Nothobranchius furzeri: one gene and its partners. The protein of the gene in region 1 interacts with the protein of each later gene in a pairwise test. Links are inferred from orthologs where the notes say so. Each region holds a gene or a part of one and is shown on either strand. Other genes may lie near its edges. The genes, in order: heterogeneous nuclear ribonucleoprotein Q-like, prmt1, heterogeneous nuclear ribonucleoprotein D0 and nupr1b.

Region 1 (5,439 bases):
TACTGTATCATCCATGTGCTCTCTGGCAAACTTCAGACGGGCCTGGACATGCACTGGCTTCAGCAGCGGAACACGTCTGGCACTGCAGGATTTGATTCTCTGCCGTTGTAGTGTGTTACTGATGGTGACCTTTGTTACTGTGGTCCCAGCTCTCTGCAGGTCATTCACCAGGTCCCCCCGTGTGGTTCTGGGATTCTTGCTCACCGTTCTCATGATCATTTTGACCCCACGGGATGAGAGCTTGCGTGGAGCCCCAGATCGAGGGAGATTATCAGTGGTCTTGTATGTCTTCCATTTTCTGATAATTGCTCCCATAGTTGATTTTTTCACACCAAGCTGCTTGCCTATTGTAGATTCACTCTTCCCAGCCTGGTGCAGGTCTACAATTCTTTTCCTGGTGTCCTTCGAAAGCTCTTTGGTCTTGGCCATAGTGGAGTTTGGAGTGTGACTGTTTGAGGCTGTGGACAGGTGTCTTATAATGAGTTCAAACAGGTGCCATTAATACAAGTAACGACTGGAGGACAGAAAAGCTTCTTAAAGAAGACGTTACAGGTCTGTGAGAGCCAGAGATTTTCCTTGTTTGAAGTGACCAATCTGAGCGGTTGAATCTGATTTGTCCTGTTCTGACAAACAAATGTCAGATCTGTATACTAGTAAGAAATGTATTATCAAACATGCTCACTTAGATTATTATTCAGTCAGAGTTACATCATATAATCCATTCGTTTCACTGAAAAAGGAGCAGGCAGAACTATGAACTTGTTTAGCCCGTCCAAGTAACATGGAAGAAAAAATACATGTATCTGTATGTAAATGTAGTTAAAATGTCTTCCCACAATAGCTCATGTAGATTCTGTCTGAGTTATACCATAAAAATCCTACAGTTCCACTAAAAGAGTATTTACCTGCAAACTAGCCTGTTAGCTCAGCTTTCTGCTGCTTCCTCTGTAGCAAGTTAGCAGTACACAGGTTAGCTCCAGTAGCTGCAAAGTCTCTGATGTTCCACAGGTTCCTGAAAAATTAGCAAACTTATTAACATAAACTGCAATAATTAATTCCATGAAACCAGTAATGAATATGTTAAGATGAATTTTTAATACGTCTCTCTGGAACAATAGACCATTGTCCTTAGGCTAGCACAATGCTTGCTTAGCAGCTAGCTAGTGAGCTAACGTCTGGTTAAAACCAACTTAAAAAGTGGCTTAATTTACAGATTAACTAAGAAAAGATCAAATATATCATCAATTGTCACTTTAGATCCTCAGTAGACACCACAGACAGCAGAAATAATGTGTTTGGGGCTCAAAATTCATGTTGTTGACCGAGGTGGGAAAAGAATGTCTTGGAGGCTACATCACTTCCGGGTCACTGAACAGTCACTCAAGAGAAACCACTGTCCTATAGGAGAGGACTTCTCAGAAGTCCCACCCACCCGAAAGGGTTGTGTCAGAATTGCAACCAAAAACTCAGGGATTGCAAAAGAGAAAGCCAGAAAGTTTAAGTGCAAATCTGGTAGTGAGAGCTAAGCTGTGTGCAGCGAGAACGAAACTAAGGAAACTGATAACAAAAACACATAGAGGCAAACAGAAAAAGGAAACATACTTTGTTACTCATTTTAAGAAGTTGATTCAGATCATAAGTTTTTCTTTTGAAACAATTTTTTTCTCTCGCAATGTCTTAATATTTGATCTTCAAAGTGTTTTTCTTGATCCTATTGGCACAAATCTAATCCCATAGCATCGCTCACCGGGCGGTGGTGAAACCGGAGGAGCCCCTGCGAAGGTCACTCAGAAGCCCCGTTTATGCTAAAATGAAGCAGCAGCGCTCGCGACGTTATACAGACGCCATTTTGTATCCCGGGTGTCAACCAAGAGATTACCCGCGCTAACGTTTCTCTTAATTTGGACTATCATCAACACGGCGGATCAGCATCGTGCACCCACAGGTAGCTTCGCGTGGTAGGTAGCAACAAACATGGTAGCCCCGAGTTTGGCTCGTGCACGCGCCTCTACAGCGTGCTGCTCGACCGGCTGTGCTAACCGGTCTTTTGAGGAAAGAATCGGACACGCGTCCATCGATGCCGTTATTGGGGTAATGCAGGGAAAGGAGAGCTTATGGCTCATAGCCAACAGTGTTTAATACATCACGGTACACGTTCTCCATTCACCGGTGTCGGCGCGGTAACTACCGAGGCCTACTACGGGGGAAGCAGTAGCTCAGGTGGTAGAGCGGATTGCCTCGTGATCGGAGGGTCATGGGTTCGATTCCAGCTCCCGCCAGGGGTATCCTGCTGTTGTGTCCTTGGGCAAGACACTTCACCCAACTTGCCTGTGTTAGTGGTGGTCAGAGGGGCCGACGGCGCCAAATGGCAGCCTCGCCTCTGTCAGACCTCCCCAGGGCGGCTGTGGCTACAAGTGTGTGAATGTGAGAGTGTGTGAAAGCGTCTTTGGGTGTCTAGAAAAGCGCTATATAAACTCAGTGCATTATTATTATTATTATTATTACTCGAGCCCCACGCGCTCTCAGGTGTGGTGAGTGTTGGTTTCAGCAGTTATGGTCCATTAGACCGGGTCGCTGCTCTGGGGCTACTTATCCATGTTTTTGTTTGTTTTAAACGACTCCGATCTGTCGCTGATGGGTTTTCAGTTTAGTAACGATCTAACCGGATCAGTGTGGTCAGACGATGTCCGCTGTCCAGCTCGATGGCGCCAAATACCGGCGGCTGTTGTCTGAAGTCACCCGGAAACAGATCAGTTAGCTGTGTTTAAACCAGTCTAGGATCACAACAGGTGTTATCGGTAGATTTACCCACTAACACAACAGTTAGGCCAGGGCAATCTAACGCTGGTCTTCCCGGGCCACCGTGTAGCATGTTTTGGTTGTTTTCCTGCTCCAACACACCTGGTTCAGTTCGCTTCCCTAAGAAACCAATTACTGGAGCAGACACACCAGAACGGTGGCCCTGGAGGACAAGGGTTAGACCATTGGACCAGGGTTATCAACTTTAAAGAGCAAGTCACCCCCAAATCTACTTCTTTTGCTGATACATTATATAAACTAGTGTCTAATCGGGCTGTAGACGCATGCAGTCAATAATTTGGGCCTTTAGTGTATCATACTTCAAATGTAAATAATATTCCTAAAACTCAGTGTCGCACCGTGTTCAGGTAAACACCCTGCACTGCAGCTGAATTTAAATCTGACATTGCTATTGGCTAAGAGGTACACCATGACGTTAGCTGGTACATTATGTCACAATGTTGTTGTGAACCTGTGTTCGTGTGTGTGTGCGTGCGCTAGGCAACAGCATTTGTTGCATTTTTCAAACAGGAAGTGGGAGTGGAGTAAGACTGATAAGATGTGACTGGATAAGAAAAGATTCATAATCAAACTAGTAAGTCAAGAGCATTGAGGGGGTTTATTCTGTCGTAAAAACTTTGTGTTCAGAGTTAGGGATGCATGTTCATACGATACGTATCGCGATACAGAGTAGAAAATATCGCGATACTAAAAGCTGAGGAATATTTCCGAGACTGAATTTAAATGAAAGAAGCATCATGGTAAACAGTCCAAACTGTTACATGTGCTGGTGCAACCAACGCAAAGGGATCTACATTTCATCACAGGAAATAAAAATTTGCCCTTTAACTGGGCGGTGTTTTAACTGGTAGAGTTGAGTTTCAGCTCAAACTGTACGACTTCCTTGCAGAGCAAGTCTCACGAGTTACGTGCTCACACTGTATGTCTGGTAGCGACATGTTGGGCCCACAAATATGCTAAAATCAGCTGTTTTTACACAACACGTCAGACTTATCGTATTATTAGGGATGCACGTAGTTAACTGCTTAATTGCCTTTAATGTTGTGACCAGGTAAACTAGTTTTTTCCAGTTAACTGTTTCAAGTCCTTCTGCTGTGCTTGGTGCAATATATTTTGTGCCACTAGAGGACGCAAGAGTGCCACTGTCAAATGGTTTACTGGGCGACCGCAGAAGAAGAAATGAGCTCATCACAAGACCTAACAAATGTGCTGAAACACAAGCGGTTATTAGAGTTAGCGGTTATTGTTTGTTCTTTCGTTATTTCATTCTTGGAGCACAAAAAGCCTCACATCAGAGCGCCGAGCCGAGACCAGCAGCAGGTCCGTCGGCCGTGACGCTCCTTATGCCTGATGCCTTATTTGTCCAGTACAATAAAGAAATTAAGTTTTCTTGCATTCAACTAAATAATTACACTAGGTGTTAAAACCGCGGCCAGACTGCACTTATCAGCACGTGATCACAAGCAGCGCTGCGTATCTGAGATCAGATGGTCCGCTGAGTCTGACGGACAATCCAGCTGTCATCCCACTCTCTTTACTTTTGTTCATAAACATAACGAGTGTGGGACTTAAGTCGTGAGTCATTGTATTAAAGAGTAGATGGAGAAAGTGTTATTCATAGAGCGAGGCAAATGTTTGGGGGGGGCTATTGACCGCTACGGAGCGTCGCTAGCCGGTTAAAGAAAGTTTGGTAAGCATACATCCCCAGTTGTTATTGTCCGTTGGGATCGCTGGAGGTTGGAGGAGGAAGACGATGAAAGTGAATCAACATCTTATCAGTTTAATCTGACAAACACGCCGTCTTGACAGTCCTTGTTATTGTGTGCAATAGTGTACAAATAAAAATGAGCAAATAGGGAAACAGCTGGTGAGCTGCGCTGATGCATGTGTGCACATGCGCCGTGAGCACTTCTAGTTAAAGATCTAACGGTTTAAAACTGGCTACAGAACAATTTGTACATGTTTACTCAGCGTTTCTAAAAGACATAGATCTGTCTCCCATGAGCCCCGGTGGTAACTGAGCTCTGTGTCTGCAGATGTCTGGAGACATGGCCACAGACCACGTTAACGGGAACACAGAGGAGCCCACGGACACATCAGCAGTGGCCCACACGGAACATTTCCCGGCCTTGTTGGAAGCTGGTTTAGCTCAGAAGGTAGCGGAGAAGCTAGATGAGCTGTTTGCAGAAGGTACGGTCTGCAGTTACCTGACAACAGTGTTTCCTACCTGTATGGTGGTGTTGGTTGGTGTGAGAGCAGAACATCATTAAGTGCATCTAATAATAGTTACTGCATTTCCTGCCACAGGTCTGGTGGCTCACAGTGACCTGGATGAACGAGCCCTCGAAGCTTTAAAGGAGTTTAATGAAGATGGAGCTCTGCAGGTGCTGGTCCAGTTTAAGGAGAGTGATCTGTCACACGTACAGGTAAGCATCCTCACCTGGAGGCTTTCACACTGACTTTTTTCATTTGAAAAGGAATTGTTGTTTTCCAGAACAAAAGTGCCTTTCTTTGTGGGGTGATGAAGACCTACAGGCAGAGAGAGAAACAAGGGACTAAAGTCTCACCTTCCACCAAAGGACCAGACGAGGCAAAGATAAAAGAGCTGCTAGAAAGAAC
Region 2 (5,231 bases), on another chromosome or scaffold:
TTACTTGTACTTGTACAAACAATGTCCAGGTCTTCCTCGGGTCAACAAAGACATATGCAGGTGTAAACAGATCTTACGAGAAACACAATCTGTTAGTTTGATCTAAGGAACATCACTATACTCAACATCCGACTGGAACCTGGAACAAAGGAACTGCTCCTTAGTACAGGGGATGCTCTGCTGCCTCCACGTACATTTTTAGTATATATTTTGTTTATCTATTCAACAATCTGCTTAATTCTGTGTAGGATCACAGGGAGATGGTGCCTGTCTCCAGCTGTCACTGGGCTGCAAGTTTTCAGTCCATCATAGGGACAGGGACAAGTCTGAAACACACATTCATTCATGCTTAGGGGGTTAGGGAACTCCAATCAACTTTAATTCTTTTGGTCTGTGAGATGAAGACAGAGGACACAGAGAAACCCATGTATGCACCTAGAGAACATGCTAATTCCTCACAGGCCAAACCCTAACCCTCAAAGGCCATAGCTGTTATTTGAGCGCACAGCCATTTTCTTGCAAGGCAATAGTGCTAGCAACTGTGCCACCATGCAGACTTTCCCACGATTGATAACTGGAGTCTCTCTGAGTGAGGCAGCGTTGTTGCACAGTCTGCATCTATCTGCTCTGGTAGACCCTTCTAGTACCAGGACAGTAATAATTAGGATACCTGAGGTAGGCCAAACACAGGTGCACAAATGCAAACATTTAAGAAGTAACATACCCCACAGGGCAACATGTAAACATGTATTTGTACAAACAGTACACAAAAACAACAAACCTAAACGTATTGTGCAACACATCTACCTGTGCAATATTTTTCAGAGTGAATGATTAGGTCAAAGATTTTTGTGCATTTATTTTAGCAGTGGGTGAACTGGTGTTGCAGGATGGGGCCGATAAGTCAGAAGAATAAAACTCTCTTTTAGTCTGGTGCTTCTGGTTATTGTGCTTTTGTAGATAAAAGCTGCACAGTTTGTGTTGTGGGGGTTCAGTCCCCTGATGATGTTGTTTTTCCTCCTAAGGACAGGTGTTGTAGAAGTAGGCAGCATTTCCAGTGTAGAGTGCTGAGCCAGTGGATTATTTTTTTCTTTTTTGCTGCATCCACCATGGAGCCTGCCTGGTATTCGTTTGCTGAGCTGTTTCCACACATAGCTCGTCTCGTGTGAAGCTGTTCCATTTCCTCTCTTGATGGAGTACGGACTGGTGAGGGCAGGACTTGGCATCCTAAACTTCCTCAGCCTTCTCAGCAAATACAAATGCTGTTTAGCCTTTGGGGCCTCAGGAGAGGTCCTCAGAGAAACTGATGCATACAAATTTTAATTTGTTCTCTTAGTGATGGAGTCAAGGTCATTTGTTCATAATGCACTCCAACTTTTCCGATGTTTGGGTGCTGTTATTCCAAATGTCAATAATCCTCTGTTTAGTTGATATAAAAAAAGATACTTTAAAATAAAGATACCCGTCATCTCCAGTTGGGGGCGCTGTGGTTCTCAGGTGCTGCTGTAAAAAAGCATTGATGCTCAGTAAAAGCCTTCCAAGCTTATAAAAGTCGAGGAGTCTTCAATAAATAAAACGTCCGATTACTACTAACAGTAGGTGGCAGTAAACACCTTTTCACGTTAGGTATGCGCAGACATATTTACGGCAACGCCCCGTGGACTGGATCTGCCGTAGTGGCCATCCGCCATTTTGGATGGGTCTCCATTCGCCCCCGGTGCATTAATTTCTACTGAGGAAGGGGCTAACTCAACTAAAAAACAAATTTAATCGAGCTTTTTCACAAAATCAGGCACAATGTATGGCATAATAATAAAATATAAATATAATTAAACAAAATAAATATTAATTAAATTTAATATAAAATCCCATCAGGTAGGCTAGAAAAGTCTCTGGTAATCCCACGTGATCTGCTTTCAATAGTACGCCGGTTGTTTTAGCCATAGGCAGCACAAAGGAGGCCCATCCAATATGGCGGAAACGCTGTAAATGACGTATGTAAGTCCAGAAGAAGAAGAAGCAGCCGTCCGCCAAAGTAGAAGAACCTGACGAAGAAGAAGACACGACACAAGGCAGAAGATGGAAATGGCGGCGCCAGCAGAAAGGATGGAGGTAAGGACTTACTGGGAGAAATATAGTAACTTCACACACACGAATTTTTAGTGTTGGCTTCCACCGATGTCGGACGTGTGTTTCTTTACCACACACAGAAAAACCGATTTTTAAACGTGGTTTCATGTGTCTGCTGATGCCGCTCATTCATTAGTGTCGCAGTTAGAACAAATCAGAAAAAATACGACAAAACTCTGACACTCAGTCAGTAACGCGTGTAGGTCGTGATTTAAAAATTTCGTTACATCGTGAGTGAGCGGTAATGGCTGAAGTTAGCCGGTGTGTCCTCTGTGACCGCATGGGTCCAACGTGTTAGCTCTGAAGCTAGGTAGTCTATGATAACTGGTTCTCGGCTTTGCACAATGGGTCCAACGTGTTAGCTCTGAAGCTAGTTAGCCTCTGATGCTAACTAGTTATCGGCTTTGTACAGTGAGTCAGTCCAACATGTTACCTCTTGTGCTGGTTAGCCTCCGAAGCTACATGTTTTACTCGGGTTAGAAAACCGCTGGGCTCAGAGTCAAACAAACTTAAAATTTAAAGTGTTTAAACTTCTGTAGCGTTCATGGGAGGGAGACTTAGCCGCTAAGCTAATCTGTTCGGTCTGGAGGTGTCGGGAGCCGGGTGCACGTTGACACTCATCTCCCATCTAACAGCCCTCTGCCCAGTTTACTCCTCGCGATTATTGTACATGTTTAAAGTCAGTGAGGTGAACATTCTCGGTTTTTTTAACGTGGTCAAATTGCTTTAACACAACGCTGGTTACGTTTAACCTCAGTCAGAGTGGACAAGCATAAGAGACGGTTTAGTTTAGACGTGGTAGTAGATGCTGCTGCTGGTTCCTGATCACAGGAGCTCAGGGGACTGGTTCCTGAATCCTCACTAGGACGGAATGTATTTATTACGTCATCTTTGTCCTCAGAGACAGCGTAGCAGCAGCGGTAAAAACAGGCAGACCGGTGGGTCTGAGGTAGGGTTGTCACGGTGTGAAAATTTAAGCTCACGGTTATTGTGACCAAAATTACCACGGTTTTCGGTATTATCGCGGTATTTTTTTAACGTGCTACATTTTCACACAATTAAATAAACCCTGTATGTCAGGAAATATTCTCCACAGTTTGTCTAAATTTTGCCTAAAATGTGTTATTTTGTAATGTTTATTTGTTTACATTGTTTCCCATTAGTCTTTAAAATACAGATATTTGCTACTTATTTTTTGTCTGTTTGATGTCATCATTTAAAAATATTAGATCCGATGATACTCAGTACTCAAGTAGCCTTCTAATCAGATACTTTACCCTTACTTGAGTAACAAACCCTATATCAGGTAAATATTGTCCTCGGTTTGTGTCCTTCCAGTGAGCTTTGCAGATGTGGGAAAATGTCATCAGGCAGTAATCATTGTTAAATTCATAATTATTCTCGGAGAGAGACCAACTCTTATCTGCCCCTGGGAGCCCCGTAATGCATAGCGTCATTTCAACATGGGGTGTCTGCGATAGGGCTGCTCGATTATGGCGAAAATAATAATCACGATTATGGTGACTGAAATTGAGATCACGATTATTTAGGACGATTTTTCAATTTATGTTGATTTTATTTGTTTTTATTCAGTCATAAAATTGCTCAGGGCACAATCAGGACAAAAATAAGAAACAAGATGATCACTAAAAGAACTCCTGATTCCCAGTATAAAAAGACCAATATATTTTTATAGCTCATAGTTTATGACCCAAGGGCTATAGACCTTGGTTTAACTCATTTAAGTCTAACCAGTACAGACCCAAATACCAATATCTTGCAAATACTGACAGCAAGAATTATACAGTGGCAACAAATACATGCAAATAAATTTATGTTCACAAAATGTTGCATAACATTTATTTAGTTGTGTCAAGGTGCTGTAGGAGAGTGCACTAGCACCGTGTCCTCAGAGATTAGTTATTAATTATCAGCGTGAGGAACTTATTTCTACATTATTTATAAACTATTTATTTACAAGTCCATCAGTTAATGTAATAATTGTCCCAACCACAGCTGCACCCCCCAACCCGGTCTCACAGCAATCGGGGCAAACTGCACGTGTGTTTAGCGCGCCGCACACGCACATTTAGCCGTTTTTAGTGGCTCAGGAGTCCGCAGGTGCGGTGTGTGTGTCACTCACTCTGGTTACTCCAACAGGGAGCCGGCTCTGAGAGCTGTTTCTTTAGCGACTGACACATCACTACATCATTCCCTTTCCTAATGTCCTGAAGAACGGTCCGGGGCGCAGGCGGAGTGTTAAGCTAACCTGCAGGAAATGTCGATGACAGTTATCCAGAAAGTAGCTAAGGGTTACCAGAGATGTTTCTCAGGTGTTCGCTAGGTACTTTTAAGTTAAAAAGTCAAGAAGGGTGTCTGAAAAGCTGCTAGAAATAGCGTCAAAGTCGCTAAGTTGGCAACACTGTGAGGAGCGCTTCATTTGCAACTCGGGGCAGCGCAGGCGGGAGGAGCAAATAATCGGCTTGTTTTGTTTTTTATAATCGTTCAAAACTCAGATCGTAATCGTGATTAAAATTCGATTAATTGAGCAGCCCTAGTCTGCGACACGGTTTATATGCAGGTAGCGGCGCTGCAGCTGCTTTATATAGCGACTCGTTGCATTCTCCCTCAACCCAAATCCTTGGATCACGCATTTTAGCTAAAATGCTAACATTAGCTTGCCTTGCGTTGACTGTAGAGTTGTGGGTGATGGTCACGCCGATGTGTCATGAGATTTGAAGCGTTGCTGCCTTTCACAGACACTTTTCCTGCACGAGCTGCAAACAGGATAGCCGTCTTCTATAAACTGTCCCTCTGCATTCTTCAAATATCCAAAAAATGCCCGTACTTCCCACTTTGTCTTCTTTGAGGGATAATAAATGTCCTGAGTGCTGCCGTCTCCTCCTTTGGCCATTATTTCAGCTTTAGCTTCAAGAAAGTTTTGGTTGTAAACAACTAAGCGTGCATGTGCCGCCGGCAACTTCAGCAGATGATACGGTGGCTGGTAAGGGTCACCGCGCCTACACCGCAGCCACGGTAAACCCACCGAGATAATATAGTTTTTAAAAACAAGACGGTTATTATTATTGTCAACTTTTTTA
Region 3 (3,528 bases), on another chromosome or scaffold:
ACCTTCACTGACCTGACCTGTGTGACCTTTATTATCTCCTCATATCCACGGTGTCTCTGTTGATGTTCGCAGCCCGAAAAACGAACCCTGACAGTTGTTTGATCAAAAGGCCAAACCATCCATAGAACTGTTGATTGACTCTACGTTTAACTGGTTTATTGTTGGCGTTTGTCCTCATGAAGGTTGCATCACAGAAGGAACATAAGCTCAACGGGAAGGTGATCGACCCCAAAAGAGCCAAAGCCATGAAGGCCAAGGAGCCTGTGACGAAGATCTTTGTTGGTGGTCTGTCTCCAGATACTCATGAAGACAAAGTCAGAGAGTACTTCAGTGCTTTTGGAGAGGTGTGACACATACACACACACACACGCCTCACTTTATATTCGTTAAGCTTTTGCTTGCATTTTCCTTTTTAAATAAAACCCAATATATCATGAATGCATTCACTATGATTTAATCAGGTGGAGTTGATTGAACTTCCCATGGAGAACAAAACTAACAAAAGGAGAGGCTTCTGCTTCATCACATTTCTAGAGGAGGAGCCAGTGAAGAAGATTATGGAGAAGAAGTACCACAACATCGGACTCAGCCAGGTGCAATCACTTCATCCAATCAGATTTCATTATATGACTGTACCTTAATGAAGACATAATAAATTAATAATGTTTGACTTTAGTGTGAAGTAAAGGTGGCTGTGTCAAAGGAGGTGTACCAGCAGCAGCAGTACTGGGGAGGCAGAGGAGGATACTCGTCCAGGTCCAGAGGAAGAGGAGGTGAGTTAGGATGGAAAACTAAAACATTGCTCTTGCTAGTTTAACATTTATGTCTGCCTCCACCTGCTGGGTTTCTCACTGAGCAGAGAAGATTGTTTCCTTATCAAACGCACAAGAACTGTATCAGCAGAACTGTTCAGGCTGAAACATTCTAGAAAAACTTCATTAAAGATAAAAACAATCGGTAAATAACTCCATTTCAACATTTTTTTAAACTTCATGGCGGATTTTTTTTCTAAGCTTGGTCCTGAAATGTCTGAATAAAGCTGCAACTTGTCCTCACCGTTGTGTGGACATAAAGGGCATGTTTGTTGGTGAGACTGGTTCTAGATCGTGGTTCCTACTAGGGGTTGTATCAACTAGTCGACTTAGTCGTGCTTATATGTTTGAGGGTTTTTTTGCATAGTACAGCTACGCCCTGTCGGGAGTAACTCTGGTATGCCTTTTTCCCTCCTCCAACCTATCCTCATGTAATTCCTTTTCATCTAATAAGGTAGCGCGACTCGTGTTGCGAATGACCGCAGTCACCAATTCTTGTCATGTGTCTTGCCCATGTATGTCTGATCTCTGAATTGTGTGTACTGAAACTCAATTTCGTTTCTCTGTATGTCTTGCACATGTGGTAGAAATGACAATAAATGACTTTGACTTTGACTTATTACAACCTTCTACATCAGGGGTGTCCAGACCTTTCAAGACTACGTTGAAATTTTAAAAATACGACCAAAATAGTGGGAAAAAAACGTGTTGTTTTCCATCAACAGCCTGCCTAAAACTGATCATTCTACAGATGCATTTGGGGCTGCACTAAATCCCTCCAAGGGCCTCAAATGGCCCCTGAGCTGCTAGATGTTGAGACCTTTTTAATTTAATTACAACTGAATTCAGTAGAAAACATCAGATGGTAAAATGTGGATGCTGGAAAACGTTCTGTGTGACGTGATGACTTGTTTCCACCACAGGTCCCAGTCAGAACTGGAACCAGGGTTATGGTAACTACTGGAATCAAGGCTATGGGAATTATGGGAATTATGGCAATTACGGTTACGGCAATCAAGGATATGGAGGCTATAGTGGCTATGACTACTCTGGGTACAATAATTATTATGGATACGTGGACTACAGCAGTGAGTATCTCTGGAACACACATTTTATTTGTTGTACTTCCAAGAAGGTATCGTGGTAATAAATCTAACTTTCCTGTCATTTGCAGATCAGTCTGGCGGGTACGGCAAGTCGCCGCGGCGTGGCGCTCACACCAACAGCTTCAAGCCGTATTAAAGAGCTCAGCTTCTAGTAGGTATCCAGTAACAAACTCACACAGATTAGTCCAAACTATAAGTAGCTATATTAACTTTGGTGTTTTGTAATATTTTGTTTAATTTGCTCACGTAAATTTCTTTTTCTCAGCACCTTCATGTGCTTTACAGTAGTGGTAACATAGAGGCTATGCTCTTGTGGCCATTATTTTTAACAGCCGGCCTCCTTTTGCACCTTCTCTTGTTTTTCCTTTTTAACTGTAAAGTTAACAGGTAAAGTGCTACTACAGTAAATGGATGCCAAAGTTAAGGATGTGCAGGGAAACAGAAAAGGAAGTTTATTGTCTCCTAACTCTGACATACCTTGTTTGTACCTGCCAGCGGAGCTTCCTTGCAGGCCATGAGCTGACTCCCAGATACCCTCAGGGCCCGCTCAATGCGGACCGGGTACGAGCAGCGTACGCTCTCGAATGCTGCCATTTGGTATGGTCTTACAACATCCTGTATCAGAATTTCTAAGTATGGGACACGTGCAGCTTTGTTTTTCTTTCTTTCTATTTTTAAGCCTTTTGGGTTTGGCGACTGTTATGTAATGTAAAACTTAAACATACACATGTAATTGTCATTCTTTTTACAGGCCCTTACTCCCCCACAAGTAATGATTATACATATGAAAGAAAGAAATAACTATCTGTTTTTTAAAGGATACATACAGCTTTCTCTGGACTTTCCAGTTCTAATGTTAATAATTCACTTCTAATGGTATTTTTTATTTAACTAGTAGTCCATGAGCTTTAACCTGGTTTGGACTCTACTGCGTTGGGGGATAAAGTGCTTTAATTTGTGTAATTATATTCTTCTGTTTTGTGTTACTGACAGCGATGGAAAAGACTCCTCTTTTTGTTAATTTTTCCTGCAACACATTTTTCTCTTATAACCGTTGATTTAAACAAAATCATACAGAAAAAGATTTAAAGTGTCACGTTTCCAGAAATTTGCATGTAATGCTTTCTTTAATGTGTATTTTTGATCAAAATGAAGTACCGTAAATCCTCTAATACAAGCCCGGGCCTGTATTTGACTCAAGCTCATCAAGCTCCAGGACTTTATTGGAAGGAGGGCCAGAAGTAGAGGCAGACCTCAATTTCTATTTGAGCAAAATGAACTAATGGTTCGCTGGAGTTTTTGACAATTAAAATTGCGCCCACATTTTCAAAGTTAAACACATTTCTTTTAACAACGGTAGTTTCTGCTTCAGCCCTCTCCCCCCTCCCCCTGCGCAGCGGCCGCAAACTCACTGATGCGCCTGCAGCCTCTCAGAGTTCCTGCTGCTCTAAACATTAAAATAATTATTTCATTTTCTGTTCCTCACTTCTGATTACCTTCAGTGGTGTCTGTTTGTTGCAACCAGCAGGTACAAAAACTAACTTGTTTTTATTTGACTATTTTTCTGTCCTGCCTGTTTATTATCTTCCTGCATCTCCTCTCAATCCTAA
Region 4 (4,265 bases), on another chromosome or scaffold:
TCACAACACGTTCAGGACTACCCAAACACCAGTAAATCTTGACTGCACTGATCTGAGGTGTCAATGGCCATATTCCCCTCTCTTCCAGAGTCATATATTTTCCTCAAGTTCAACTGCACTCTGAAGAGGCTCATTTGGATTGTGCCACATAGGCCAGTGACCTTTGTCTCAGCACTGTATGCTGGAACTATCAGCGACCAACCTGGGAATCTGGTGTGATGAAAATGCTACAACTAGAGATGGTCATCTTGGTAGACAGGGGTTTCTTCATTGATGACATTGTGCCCTGCAAAGTGTACAGGCCAGCTTTCCTTTCTGGCAAACCTCAAATGTCTGCATGTAAAGTTATAGAAACAGAAGCCATAACATCTCTGAGTGCATGTGGAGCGCTCCATTCATCTGGTCCAAGAACACAAGCATTTTGATTGTTATTCCCCTCCTTGCATTTGTAAACAATCAGCTATATGCTGTGGTTTTTCTCCTTACCAACTTTTAAAATAGCCCACTAGTGAAGGCCTGGGCAAAGAAGCCTGATGTCTGAGAACCTCAACATATGTACGGCAACCATACTGTATATTTACACACTTTCATAAAGAAACTGCATATCAAGCTTTCATTCAGATGACCTTCAACAGTGCTGCACCCTGCTGAGGGACATCCGAGTAAAACCTTGAGATGGCCATTTTCTGTTCACTAACTTGCTTTAGTAAATCCTTACTTTTGTTAAATAAATCAGTTGTTGAACCCCCACTGCTCTGTTTGGTCTCCTTTCTTATTACAGCCCGCCACTTCCAGTCTGGGTTGTAACAATCTGCAGACAGATTTCTGAGTATCTCCTCCTTTGGTACACAGATCCTTACGGAGCCATGTACTGTGAACAAATAGTTTCTCCATGATATTATCCAGCAAGGTCCCGTTTTTGTCAAAACAAGGGTGAGGTAATGAAAAAATAGAAATATTTCATTAAATTAACATTTAAATTATTTATATGCATCATTAAAAAAAACATGTTTTGAAATATATAAAGTGCACCAAACTTGACTCAGTCCATTCAACAATTCTAAATGGACAATTATGTAACTCATCAATTAATTATTTGAAAGGATAATTTGTCAATTAAATACTGAAAAAAATAAACAATTCATTAATGAGGCAAGAACTTTTCTCTCTCTGTCTCTCTCTCTCTCTCTCTCTCTCTGGAAGCCCCACTCTAAGGGAGTTTGCAGTGTATTAGTGAGTCATATATTGTACAACCACAGTCATAAAGTTTTCAATCAGTAGTTTTATTTCAGTATGTATTTTTCCAGTATCACAAAAAATGTAATTTTCTATGGTTAAAACCATCTAGCTTATGTGCACTTTTTAAAACACTGCCCAGCAAACATTCGGACGTTTAATGACAGTTGAACGGTCACAACTGTAAAATACCTGAAATTAAGAAAAATTAACATGACATCTACTGCATTTTCCTTGCCCGGCCTCGAACCCGGATCCTCCGGGGCGAGAGTCACCCGCTCTCCCAACTGAGCTATGCCAGCAACTGCTTGAATAGCAGACTTTTTTGTATAGATAGGTAGAGGGTAAAGTGCGGGGTACACTAACCAATCAGAGGACAGAGAAGATCTGCCACAGGCCACGCCTCCAGAGTGCCAAAACCCTTACAGCCGAGCGAGCAGGAGTCAGAAACCGAGCGCGCAGAGAGGCTGCCGAGCGCGCACAGAGGCTGCCGCGCGCGCACGTTTTCCTCTGCCGTGTGCTCGTTGACAACGCGCGCACGCAGGTTTGTCACTTGTGCACAACCTTGTGCGCTCACAGACACAGTTTGCTCCCTCTCAGTGCACAAATGACCTCTCGCCATGTATATTTCCGCTCGCGAGTCCCGTTCACACGCGCGCTGTGGACCCAATGCGCGTGCACGGGTTGTGGCACGCTTTAAACGCCATAGAAAACCAGCAGGAGGAGTAAAGGAGAGGAGGAGGAGCTCAGTAAGTTATAAAAACCTGCAGGAGAAGAAAACACCGAGAGGAGACCGAAAACAAGGAGACCAGCCGAAGAAAAGTACCGAGTGAACGTTTCTGAGTCTTTGTGTTGAGAAGCTGAAGCAAACATGAGTCACGTCGACGTGAAAAACCTGAAACCCTCCAACAAGTTCGAGGAAGAACATTATGACGAATATGATTATTACAGTCTGACCGACAAATACGCAGGTGAGCAGCTCTTTCCTTAGCCTGGAGCTAACGGAACTCCAGACCGGTTCAGGGTGGGTAAATGTGTGTGTGTGTGTGTGTTGCAGAAGGCTCGGCCCGAAAAGGCCGAACCAAGAAGGAGGCCAGCGACAACACGAACCGACACAACCCCGCCGGACACGAGCGGAAGATCGCGGAGAAACTCCAGAACAGCGAGAAGAAAGCCAAGGAGTGATGACCAAGGTGGAACAAACACACCTGCAGAAATAAAGTCTCCGTCCAGTTTGGGTTAACGGCCCCGCCGACAGGAACGCTGTTTGTTTAGTTGGATCCAAAAGCATCGAGCATTTATAAACGTTAAATTGTTGGATTTCTCCGGGATTTGGAGCGCTTCCTGCAGAGCTGCTGCCACGACGCAAACAGAATTAACCCTTTAAACCCGAGTTTACCACCTAAAGCAGGTGAAAGCTGGAACTGTTTGGTGGCTTCACTTAACCCAACTACTGCTTAAAACGCCCCATTTCAAGAAATGTTCTCAAATATTTGCATCAAACCAAAATCCTAAAATTGAAAGTTGATAAATAGATTTAAGTTGCACACAACATGTTTGCCTAATTGTTTTAATCCATTTGGGAGGATTGATTTTGACCATCAATCTATCTGGAATGATTGTGTAAAATGATCAGTGTTGTGTGCTTGGTTCTGCTCTGCAGATGTGTTTACAATAACCAGGCTTTGGTCTTTTGTTTTTAACAGGGCGACTCGGACAGCTTTACCTGGAAACTGACCACGGCCTCGACGTGCAGATTGATGGAGCTTGTTGGAGCTCTGCTGGGATTAACCTCGGCGTGGCGAAGAGCCTGCAGATCCAGGCCTCTTCTCTGATGCCTGCAGGGGTTGTACACTGATCTCTGGTGTTGGAGTTTACCTGAGTTCAGAGTCATGGCTCAGGCCACAGAGGTGCACCTTCGGTTGTGACTTTGCAGCTGAAGGATGGTTGTTTTTACAAGGTCGTTTTATAATTAAAATGTTTCAACTAACGTCAGAGTGTTGTTGTTTTTGTTTAGCCTAGAATCTCAGTGAAAGGGGAAAAATGTAAATGAAAACAAGGGCTATCTTTTATTCTTTTGTCATTGTTTCATAAATTGTGCGATGAAAGAAAAGTTATTTTCTCATTCTTGTCCTTTTTGTGTTTTAGTTCAGTGGACTTAAAATTGTTTAGATTATTGATAAAGAACTTGGTGTCCATATAAAAAATACACTTGACAAGTCCCAAAAATTTTAAATGTACCTCAGGGGGAATTTATTCAAGCATTTGACAGAATAAATGCTCTAAAGATGTCTTGACTGAAATATTACAAGTGACAAAAAACTTGAGATAAATCTCAAACATGCAACTGCTTCAGTTAAACAGACATTTTTCATTCTTTAACCAATACGGCTCATTGTTATGGCACGTGTACGTACGTCATAGGTGCTGCTACACGTAATTAAAAAGGAGGGGGGGGGGGGGGAACGGGGCGAAAAGGGTTTCGACAGTTTTCGACCATGGTTGCAGTTCCAGACACTGACCACAGCAGAAATTGGCGCTGTTCCTGTTACAAGCGGTAAAGCGACCCCTCAAACAGCCAAGAAGGAGACATGTAGTTAGCGTCTGAAGTAAATAAACACGTAAATCTGTTCGGTGAGTACATTAATGGGTTTGATACAAGTCGAATGGGATAAATATCACTGGGATTATGTCACGAGGAAATGATGGCTCTGATTTTGTTGTTAAATTATCTTGTTTTTGTATATTGAGCCAGTCGCTAACGCAGTCGAGCAGAATGCTACCATTAATATTTAAGCAAAAGTTCTTCTTCATCGCTGCTTTTAGAAGCTGTTTGAATTTGAGAATCTTACAGGATAAAACATGTCTGCCGACACAAAGATCGCAGAGCTGCTGACGGAGCTCCACCAGCTCATCAAACAGACTCAAGTGAGTTCCGGTTCGGGTGGCAGCTGATCTGGGTCAGCACACCTGGTAAATAATCGGTTCGTCTGTTGTCTCTTTCAGGAGGAGAGGTCACGCAGTGAACA

The links.
Region 2: the proteins of heterogeneous nuclear ribonucleoprotein Q-like (region 1) and prmt1 interact in binary tests that used the Homo sapiens proteins (3 or more experiments, as listed by UniProt). The link is inferred for Nothobranchius furzeri from reciprocal best matches to the Homo sapiens genes SYNCRIP and PRMT1.
Region 3: the proteins of heterogeneous nuclear ribonucleoprotein Q-like (region 1) and heterogeneous nuclear ribonucleoprotein D0 interact in binary tests that used the Homo sapiens proteins (3 or more experiments, as listed by UniProt). The link is inferred for Nothobranchius furzeri from reciprocal best matches to the Homo sapiens genes SYNCRIP and HNRNPD.
Region 4: the proteins of heterogeneous nuclear ribonucleoprotein Q-like (region 1) and nupr1b interact in a two-hybrid assay, tested with the Homo sapiens proteins (2 studies listed by BioGRID and IntAct). The link is inferred for Nothobranchius furzeri from reciprocal best matches to the Homo sapiens genes SYNCRIP and NUPR1.

Annotation. Positions count from the first base shown.
Region 1 is NC_091742.1:17,031,115-17,036,553, reverse strand, and holds the start of heterogeneous nuclear ribonucleoprotein Q-like, read left to right. Parts: upstream 1-1,805; 5' UTR 1,806-1,945; exon of another isoform or gene 1,946-1,958; intron 1,959-4,856; coding exon 4,857-5,010; intron 5,011-5,127; coding exon 5,128-5,246; intron 5,247-5,314; coding exon 5,315-5,439. UniProt on the Homo sapiens protein: Heterogenous nuclear ribonucleoprotein (hnRNP) implicated in mRNA processing mechanisms. Component of the CRD-mediated complex that promotes MYC mRNA stability.
Region 2 is NC_091758.1:13,911,704-13,916,934, reverse strand, and holds the start of prmt1 (protein arginine N-methyltransferase 1), read left to right. Parts: upstream 1-1,970; 5' UTR 1,971-2,079; coding exon 2,080-2,112; intron 2,113-5,231. UniProt on the Homo sapiens protein: Arginine methyltransferase that methylates (mono and asymmetric dimethylation) the guanidino nitrogens of arginyl residues present in proteins such as ESR1, histone H2, H3 and H4, FMR1, ILF3, HNRNPA1, HNRNPD, NFATC2IP, SUPT5H, TAF15, EWS, HABP4, SERBP1, RBM15, FOXO1, CHTOP, MAP3K5/ASK1, MICU1 and NPRL2.
Region 3 is NC_091746.1:62,882,607-62,886,134, reverse strand, and holds part of heterogeneous nuclear ribonucleoprotein D0, read left to right. Parts: intron 1-182; coding exon 183-344; intron 345-461; coding exon 462-593; intron 594-676; coding exon 677-773; intron 774-1,735; coding exon 1,736-1,900; intron 1,901-1,986; coding exon 1,987-2,054; 3' UTR 2,055-2,069; intron 2,070-2,413; exon of another isoform or gene 2,414-2,551; intron 2,552-3,528. UniProt on the Homo sapiens protein: Binds with high affinity to RNA molecules that contain AU-rich elements (AREs) found within the 3'-UTR of many proto-oncogenes and cytokine mRNAs.
Region 4 is NC_091745.1:29,321,468-29,325,732, reverse strand, and holds nupr1b (nuclear protein 1b), read left to right. Parts: upstream 1-1,909; 5' UTR 1,910-2,107; coding exon 2,108-2,207; intron 2,208-2,293; coding exon 2,294-2,421; 3' UTR 2,422-2,429; intron 2,430-2,942; 3' UTR 2,943-3,226; downstream 3,227-4,265. Other genes in the region: sgf29 (SAGA-associated factor 29), read left to right, coding at 4,099-4,164, 4,243-4,265. UniProt on the Homo sapiens protein: Transcription regulator that converts stress signals into a program of gene expression that empowers cells with resistance to the stress induced by a change in their microenvironment.